Sus scrofa: one gene and its partner. The main gene of each other region encodes a partner of the protein of the gene in region 2 in a complex. Links are inferred from orthologs where the notes say so. Each region holds a gene or a part of one and is shown on either strand. Other genes may lie near its edges.

What was found.
Region 1: CPSF2 (region 2) and CPSF4 share a complex: the UniProt entries of both Homo sapiens proteins name them as parts of the cleavage and polyadenylation specificity factor (CPSF) complex. The link is inferred for Sus scrofa from reciprocal best matches to the Homo sapiens genes CPSF2 and CPSF4.

The regions. Positions count from the first base shown.
Region 1 is NC_010445.4:6,372,919-6,377,227, forward strand, and holds the start of CPSF4 (cleavage and polyadenylation specificity factor subunit 4), read left to right. Parts: upstream 1-1,443; 5' UTR 1,444-1,596; coding exon 1,597-1,699; intron 1,700-4,309. UniProt on the Homo sapiens protein: Component of the cleavage and polyadenylation specificity factor (CPSF) complex that play a key role in pre-mRNA 3'-end formation, recognizing the AAUAAA signal sequence and interacting with poly(A) polymerase and other factors to bring about cleavage and poly(A) addition.
Region 2 is NC_010449.5:113,658,418-113,662,840, reverse strand, and holds the start of CPSF2 (cleavage and polyadenylation specificity factor subunit 2), read right to left. Parts: upstream 2,904-4,423; 5' UTR 2,777-2,903; intron 1,455-2,776; exon of another isoform or gene 1,337-1,454; intron 1-1,336. Other genes in the region: NDUFB1 (NADH dehydrogenase [ubiquinone] 1 beta subcomplex subunit 1), read left to right, coding at 2,904-2,951, 3,082-3,259. UniProt on the Homo sapiens protein: Component of the cleavage and polyadenylation specificity factor (CPSF) complex that play a key role in pre-mRNA 3'-end formation, recognizing the AAUAAA signal sequence and interacting with poly(A) polymerase and other factors to bring about cleavage and poly(A) addition.

The DNA of each region.
Region 1 (4,309 bases), on a different chromosome or scaffold from region 2:
AATAAAAGCATGAACACGTTTTATTTTTAGGGTCGGGTTATATTAAAGTTACCAATGAGAAGACCTCAGAGGTGACAGTAAATTCGACAGGTCAATAACTGAGAACCAAGGAGGGGAATGACATTCGCCCTGAAAACGTGCAGTGGGTGAGACTGGCTAGCTCTGGAAGGGGCTGGCTTTGAACCCAGGTCCATGGATGGTATCAGACAGCCTCTCTTGACCAGCACCCTAGTGACACTAGTGCAAAAGCCCTTTACATTCTGCACCTGGTGAGGCTCCACCAGAAATGTAATGTGAGCACGTACGTAACTTAAAATTTTCAAGTACCCACAGTAAAGAAAGTGTTTACATACATGAATTAAAACACAGAATTTTAATTACCGATATTGAAATAGGTGCCCCCATGTTTTTTAAACATGCTTACTCAAATAAATGCTTCTTTTTCAACCATTAAATAACAACGTCGGATCGTCATCTTAAAACAGTATAAAAGTTTGTAGCAGGAGTTTCTGTTGTGGCACAGAGGAAACGAATCAGACTGGGAACCATAAGGTTGCGGGTTCGATCCCTGGCCTCGCTCAATGGGTTGGGGACCCCGCGTTGCCGTGAGCTGTGGTGTAGGCGGGCAGCAACAGCTCCGATTAGACCCCTCGCCTGGGATCCTCCATAGGCCGCAGGTGAGGCCCTAAAAGGGCAAAGGACAAAAAAAAAAAAAAAAAAAGTAATTAAAAAAAAATTTTTTAATTAAAATAAAATAAAAAAAGTCTGTAGTAGCTGCAAAGACCCTGTCTCCAACCATCATTACACTCATCCCTACTTGAAACCACGACATCCTTTGGGCACAGCGAACGCCCCTCGGTCAGTCGTGAAAGGGGCAATTTCGTTCTCCCCACCTGCCCAGATTAATAAACCGTATTGCAGACACGGGGCCCCGCCGCTCCCCAGACGCCCGGAGACCCTCAAGCTGACCCCTCTCCCAGGCTCCCCTCGATCCTCTGTTTCCTCAGCCGACCCAACGGCTCCGACCCTGGCTGCGACCCTCGCTGACCCTCTGGCCCGTCCCGACCCGGGGCCCGGGCTCCTGTGAGAGTCAAACAGGCACTCGCCCCAGGACTGCGGCCCAGTGAACGCGGCCCACCTCGGTCTCCGCCCGCGCCCCCTGCCCCGCGCCCGTCCCGCGTCACCCCTAGCGCCATCCCAGCCGCGCCTCGAACCCCGGCTCACCGTCCCCACCGCCTTCCCAGAGGAGCGCCTCGGCCGACCTCGCGCAGGCGCAGTCTCCGTCGCGAACTCCTGGCGCGCTAGGTTTCTTGGTCGCCGGCAGCGGCGAGGAGAGGTGAGAGTTCGGCGAGCGGCTAGCCGGGCCTAGCAGAGCCGCCTGTACTCTGCGCTTGATTGGCCCGGTCTGGAGCGAAAGGGCTGGCGCGGGCTCTGGGTGCTCCCGGCATCCCTTGGGCGGCGGCGGCGGTGGCGCCGGTGTTGGCGGCAGCGGCGAGGCGGCGGAGGACAGTGTGCGGCGGGTCTGCGGCGGGTAGAGGTGTGAGGGAGACGAGGAACCTGAGCGGGAGCCGGGCCGGTGTGGCCGCCGCCGCCGCCATGCAGGAAATCATCGCCAGCGTGGACCATATCAAGTTCGACTTGGAGATCGCAGTGGAGCAGCAGCTCGGAGCGCAGCCGCTGCCCTTCCCCGGCATGGACAGTGAGCGCAGGGTCCGGGAGGAGGGCGAGGGCGCGATGGACTTGGCTCCGGGACCCCCCCCCCACCCCCGCCGCTGTAGTTCCAGGACGCCCTGCCCCTCAGTTCGGGAGCTCCTCCCCCTCGGTCCTGGGACTGCTTTCCCCAAATCCTGGGACCCCCACCCCACCTTCTCCCGTCATTTGGACTAAGGAGCCCCTCTTCCCCGATCTTCGACCCCTGAGAGCTAGCCTAAGGCTAGGGCAGGACCACGTCCCGCCCATCAAATAATTCTTGAATGAAAGCGGGTATCGTGTATTGGAAATACTGCCCCCACTCGAACACGCTCCCCAACTACAGAAAAGTACCAAGATATCCCCTTTCCCCATTTCCAGCCCCCCACTTTGGGCGGTCTCTTCTTGCTTTCATCAAAACCGGGCCGTTGGGAGAGTCTTGCAGAGGGAAGGACCCACCCCTTACTCTGTAGGAGACCCCCAATGAGGCGCTCAAGCTCCGTTTTTCTCCTAGGACTCGCGCTCCTGGGAGCCCATTCCTCACTGTTTCTCTGGACCCCACCTCTGGGTCATTCCTCACACCCAGGCAGCCGCCCAAGTGTCCTTCACTCTCCCTCTTCACGTGGCGGCAGTTATCTTTTCCTCTTTCTTTCTCAGAGATACTTGAAATTTAATGCTGTAAGTTAAAGCTCAGAGGGCTCTTAGGGGTCAGTCATTGAGTTCAAGCCACAGATGAAGCACCTGAGCCCTGGGCTGGGGAAGGGACTGGCCAAAGACTGCTCAGCGCCTGATGGAGCCAGATGAGCTCGCCAGGCTTCTTGACCCTTCTATCTGTGGCTCCCTGTGCCGTCCCCCTAACTGCCAGAGGACATGGACCACAGTGCCACATTCTCCTACCTGTCCCTGGACTAGCGGAGCCTCCCTGCGGCCTCATTCCCCTCAAGTGGCCACACTTCTCATGCACGTGTGACCTCTGAGTTGTCCCTCTTACGCTGACGTTTCTGTATAAGATAATGCATGTACACAAGAGACGTACCTTTAGCAGCAGTTACTTTCTATACACATACAAACGCTGTCTCCACTGCATACGGCTTACAAGCCGCTGCCCAGACCCTTAAACCGGTCAGTGCAGGTGATCACTTCATGCTTATACACAGACATCTACCCTCACACCCGTGGCCTCTTCCTCTGCTGATGGCACTAGCTCGAGACCAAGGAACCATCCATACTGGGCAGCTCTTTCTCCCTCCGCCCTCCAGCCTGGAACCACAGATACCTGAGCCCGGGAGGGCAGGTGCAGCGGTGAGGGGCCCTCAGATCTGTGCTTGGAGAGGGTCCAGGACCTGCCTAGCCACAGGTACTGCCCCAGCCCAGGGCCTCAGCACTCACCGCCTGCCCGAGATCACGGTCAGTGTGTCAGAGCCCAGGGAGGCCACAGCCCTTCCTCCCCCTCGTCCTTGCACTTGATTTCTGTCTTAATACAAGAAGGATCTATGGGTTCTGTCCTGAAGGCACATTTCTTTATCATGTCCGCCTCAGACCCCGTCCCCAGCACTGTGGACTTTGGCATTTAAGGAATAAAACAACCTTAAACCTCTGAAAAGAACGAAGGCTCAAAGTACTCTTAAATGATAACTTTTTTTTTTTTTCTTTTCTTTTTTCTTTTTAGGGCTGCACCCGAGGCATATGGAGATTCCCAGGCTAGGGTTTGAATCATAGCTATAGCTGCTGTCCTGTGCCACAGCCACGGCAATGCCAGATCCTTGACCCACTGGGGGAGGCCAGGGATTGAACCAGCAGCCTCATGGTTCCTAGTCAGATTCATTTCCGCTGAGCCACGAGGGGAACTCCTTAAAAGATTTTTTAATGTAAGACTTCTCGGACTTTTCTGAAATGCACACCTCTGACGCCCACTTCTGTAACCTTAAATCTGTCCTAGCAAAATAGACCTGCTTCTAAGAAGCCAATAGAGCTCTTGAAAGTTTGCAGGGGAAGACACGTAAGAGATGCTCGTGGTGGGTTTTGAGCATTTCTAAAATGCCCACTGATAGAGAAAACTGAAGCCACAGATGCTTTCTCCTGGTGGCCATGGCGGGTGAATTCCTGGGCTCCTTATTACAGCCCTGCACCCCACTGACTTCTCTGTGCTTGGCCTTCCTTCTCCTGCTCCCCTCCCGTGAACCAGCTGTATCTGTGGAACATTGAATTGTGTGTTGCTGCCGCTTATTAAGAGCAGTCACGCTCCTGCGTCATCAGTTATGCTCTTCCCTCCAGGAGGGTCTCTGAGCGCCCACCTCTTCCTCCTCGGGGTCCCCGTTTGCTTGTTTGTGCTTCCTGTGGGATCATTCCCTCCCCCTGCCTCAGGTTCAAGTGCCCCTGAATTCACCCTCTGCACAGTCTGAGCAGGGAGAAATTAATTTCTGTCACTTGGGCTCCATCCTTCCTGCGCCCAACCACTCCTAACTCCTTGAAAGCATCTGGCTTGTAGGAGGTTCTCCGAAAGCCCTGAGTAATGACTGGTCTCAGCATATATGCCTCATTCTGCCAGGAATGGCTGAGAGAAAGAGCATTTTCCTTGCTCGAGCTTTGCATTTTCTTCCCACTCTATTTCCTGTACCTT
Region 2 (4,423 bases):
TGGCACACCATCATATAAGCAAAAAATGAAAGAAAAGCCCTAATGAATAGAAAAGGGCCAGCTAATGAAAGGCCTTGGAAACTCTGGACCTAGTTCTAACTGTTGGACAGAACAGGTAACAAAGAGATATTTTAAGATCAATTATAAGATGACAGGATATAGGCAGTTCTGCAGATTCAAAACATTTGCTGGTATGTGTGATTGTTTAGATAAAGTCGGTGGTCAAAGCAGGGAGATAAAAAAAAAGAGAGGATTTAGCAGCCCCCTCCCTCCTTTCACCTTTGCTGGTGCTATTTTGAGACTAAACTTCTTCAGCCTCAAATGCACCTTATAACTCTGCGACATGAGTTCACGAGTCATTGTCTAAGGAACCAAGGCTAGAAACTCTACATGTTTGATTCCTCCCTTTGCTTCTTGAACAGACTGTTACCACCTCCGGAATTACTCTCCCCTTAGAATTCCTTGTACATTTACCATTCCCTCCCCATTCCGACAGCAAGTACCTTAATACAGGGCCTCATTGCCTTACATTTGGGTTTCTGTTTCTTGGCCTCCAGCCTTTCCTCCCTTCATCTCAACCTAAACCCTACTGCCAGATTAATCTTCTGAAACACCCCCACATGTATGAGTCCTTGCTTAGAAATCTCTGAAGGCTTCCTACAGTCTGAAACAACCAAACCTGGAGGGTGCCAGCAAGCTGCCCTGACAGCACTGCTGACCATCACCAGTTTAAGGCCCAGCCTAAATTCCACTCCTCACTAATTCCTCTATCATTCATCTAGACTAGTACGGCTCTGTCCAATAAAAACAGCATGCATATCAAATGTAATTAAAATTTTTTTTCTGGGCCACATTAAAGTTTTACAGGTGAAATTAATTTTATTTAACCCAACATATCCAAAATGTTATCATTCCAACATGTAATCATTTTTAAGAAACTGGTTTTTTTTTTTTCAGTCCTAAATCTTCAAAATCCAGTGTGTATTTTATATTTACAGCACAACTCAATTTGAACTGACCACAATTTCAAAAGCTCAGCAGCTACATGAGGCTGGTGGCTACTGGAATAGCACAGATAGCAACTCTGAACATGCTTTGGACTGTGGAGCGTTGTGCTCTGTCACCCCTAAAGTGCAAGGAGGCACCGTCCTATTTTTATGCACATCTCAGACTAGACTTTAATGGTATCACCAACCACTTAGTCTCCCAGACGAAAAATTCTGAAGTCACCTTCTTACCACAAATTGGCTGCCACCAGTTGAATTCCTTTTTGACATTTCAGAAATGTCTAACATCCTTTACTATCTTTCCCCAATGAAGGCACTCATTTCCTTACCTGAATGACTGCAATTTCCTCTCATTCAGTTCCAAGTTGATCTTCCATACAGCTATCAGAGAGACCATCCTACAAAAAATAGCCTCATGCCCCCTTCCTTGTGCAAGGCAGTCATTGGCTAAGTACCAAAGAAAATCTCACACCTTCCTTGGAAAGCAAGGTCCTTTACAAGTTTACCTCAATCTTCCTCTTGCTTCACCAACCACCCTTGCACAGCATGCTCAAATACATTCATTCTCCCGCTCTCCCCAAGCTTGCCAAAACTTCTCCAGTCTCTGCATCCCCGCACTGCAACCAAGAATGACCTTCCCGTGAGCTTAGTAAATTCCTTTTGGCCCTTCACGACCCAGCTCAAATTTACTCTTTTATAAAGCTATTCTGGTGTCTCCAAGCAATGGTATTTACATTTAGCTGGCACAAGTGGGCACAAAGAATAATGGTGAATGGATGTTGAATGGCATGAGAGAAGCGTTCAGGTGAATCTTTTAATCTCCAATACGGAGCACAGCGTTCAAAGCAACGTACATGTGTACTGAAAGGAATGAACCCTCACGACATCATAAATTGCTGCTGGGCAGCGGTTTTTGACCAACACCATTTCATCTTAACTATCTATCAAAGTTACTTGCTTTCTTAATAACGATTGTGGGTGCATGTTAATGACAACTAAGGGGAATCAGCAAAGTCTAAGGAAAATGAGAGTCTGGGTTAACCTCGAAGACTCGTAAGAAGTCTCCTCCTGGTCAGTTCCGGGAGAGCACTGGTTTCCTAACAGGATCAAAGGGGTTCTAACATAAAAAACATTAAAATATTATTAGGGCATGGGCAATTGCTCACTCAAGTTCGCCTGGTCACAGGAAGCCAGACTTGCCAGGGTTAAAATTATTCTGACCTCTTGTTTACTGAAGAGTACGTAAATAATGATAATACGGGAAGTGCTCAAAGGCTATGGGGGGTAGGGGGGAACCGAAACTTTTTTTAATAAAGCATGGTAAGGTCTTTGAGTCGATTAACTAAAGAGGACGCCTGCTTTGTGGCCAGTAGCCTCGTGGTCTCTCAATCCGAGGCGACAGGAAGACCCCAAGCGAGGAGGCTGAGAACAAGGCAGCCACAAAGCTAAGGAGCCAAAGCGGACGTCGGATTAACTCCTCCGGCGCCGAGACTCAAAGGGGAGGGAAACAGCAAAAAAGAGGGAAGGAGAGCATGGGACTGAATCGTAGGAACTGCCACAACAGAATCGGGAGCTTCAGACCCATGAAGAAATCACTGTTTCCCTCACTGAGCACTTCGGCCGGGAATGACCAGGAGAGTCACAACCGAAACCCCAGGCGCGCGTCCCTGGTGGAGACCGAGTCAGAGTCGGAGCCAGGCTCTCCCCGAGGGCCGAGGACGCCCCCTCCCCCATCCAAAGGCGCACTGATTTCTTCCGCCCCCACTTGCCTCGTCAGTCCTCCCCCAACGCCGTCCACTGCCCTTCCCAACCCCTAGTAGAATCCAGGTTCAAGAACGAGAAAAGCTGATGTTGGCTCAGCAGCACCCGTGACGATCTGCCAGCAGAAAACCCTCAATGGCGGCCGCCATTTTGAAACTGGAGGAGACCCGCGGAGGCGGGGAGGCGAGGGGTGATACCATCTTCGGGGGCGAGGGGTGACAAAGCTGGAGGAAGGAGGTGGTGCTAACACCAACTCTTCACCTGGGAACAAAATTTTATTTTTAAAGGCTGTATAATGTGTTAAATCTTAAAGAAATGTGATAAGAATCAAGGAGTGAAAGGAAGAAGATTTATGATTTCCCGGAGCCACCCCTCTCTTCGAGCGGGCCCGGCGAATGGTAGATCCCGAGGCCACAGCTTCCGCCGGCGCTGGTGGCTGGGTTCACCGCTGCCCTTGGTCGTGGGGGTCGTTGTTGGCTCTGAGGCCGCAGGTGGGTCTGGGGTCGAGGCGTTGGAGGCGGCTAGAGTTGCTTTTGTGCAGGCGGAGTGGGGTGAAGTTCTAGGAAAGCCTTCTGCAGCCTGTGTACGGGGAGGTGCGGGGGATCTGGGACTTTGCAGGACTGGAGCGGCGCGGCTTCCCAGGCTTCCCAACGAAGGAGAGGGGGACAGGGGAGGGGGGGCGGAGAGGGCGTTGCTTTCTGGAGGACCGCTGCGCTCAGCTTTCCCGTCTGATGCCTTTTGAAAAGGGTACTCTGAGGCTAGCATAACTGGAAAATGTCTTTTGATGTTGCCCGAGCGGAGGAGACACTATCTGGGATCACAGCTCCTAGGCTGCAGGAGAGAAGGGGCTGCTTCTCCAGAAAGATCTCCGATTCGTCCAAGTTTCAGAGTTCTGTCTTGCTTGTTACTCAGCATCGCAACCTTGCTCTGTTCTACATCTCAAATCCTCTTGAGCCCACCATTCCACAAAATATGCACTTTGTAAAAACTTAATTTTTAAAAAAAGGATTTATTTGTGCTTTATTTCTAGCGTGTGTATGTTGTTAAGACAGGGTTCCAGACCTCAAGGAGTTTTCTGGCTCCCGACTTTTTTTTACGTTAAGTCGACACATTTTGATCAATACATATAAGTGCAATAGAGACTAATTAGAGAATAGAATTTATTTTTTTAATGTCTAATCAACTATTATTACAACGTGAGTTTGGAAGGACTTAGAAAAATACACACCATATACAGTCTTCTTTTGAGAAGTTAAGAGAGAGAAATGGATTGAAGAAAATGTAAATAATACAAGCATACCTCATTTTATTATGCTTCACTGATATTTTTTAACAAATTGAAGTTGTGGCAACCCTTGTCAGATGATGGTTAGCATTTTTTAACAATAAATTATATTTTTAATTAAAGTATGTACAGTGTGTTTTTAGACATAATGCTATTGCATATTTTAAATAAACTGTAGTATAGTGTAAACAAGTTTTATAGGCACTGGGGAATCAAAAAATTCTTTTGACTCACTTATCTCGGTATTTGCTTTATTGCAGTGATCTGGAACCAACCCCATAATATCTCTGAGTTATGCCCTTATTAGGAAAAATGAGATAAAGTCAACAGTAAGGCTAAAATAAGTGTTGACCTTTCTGTCTACTGTAAG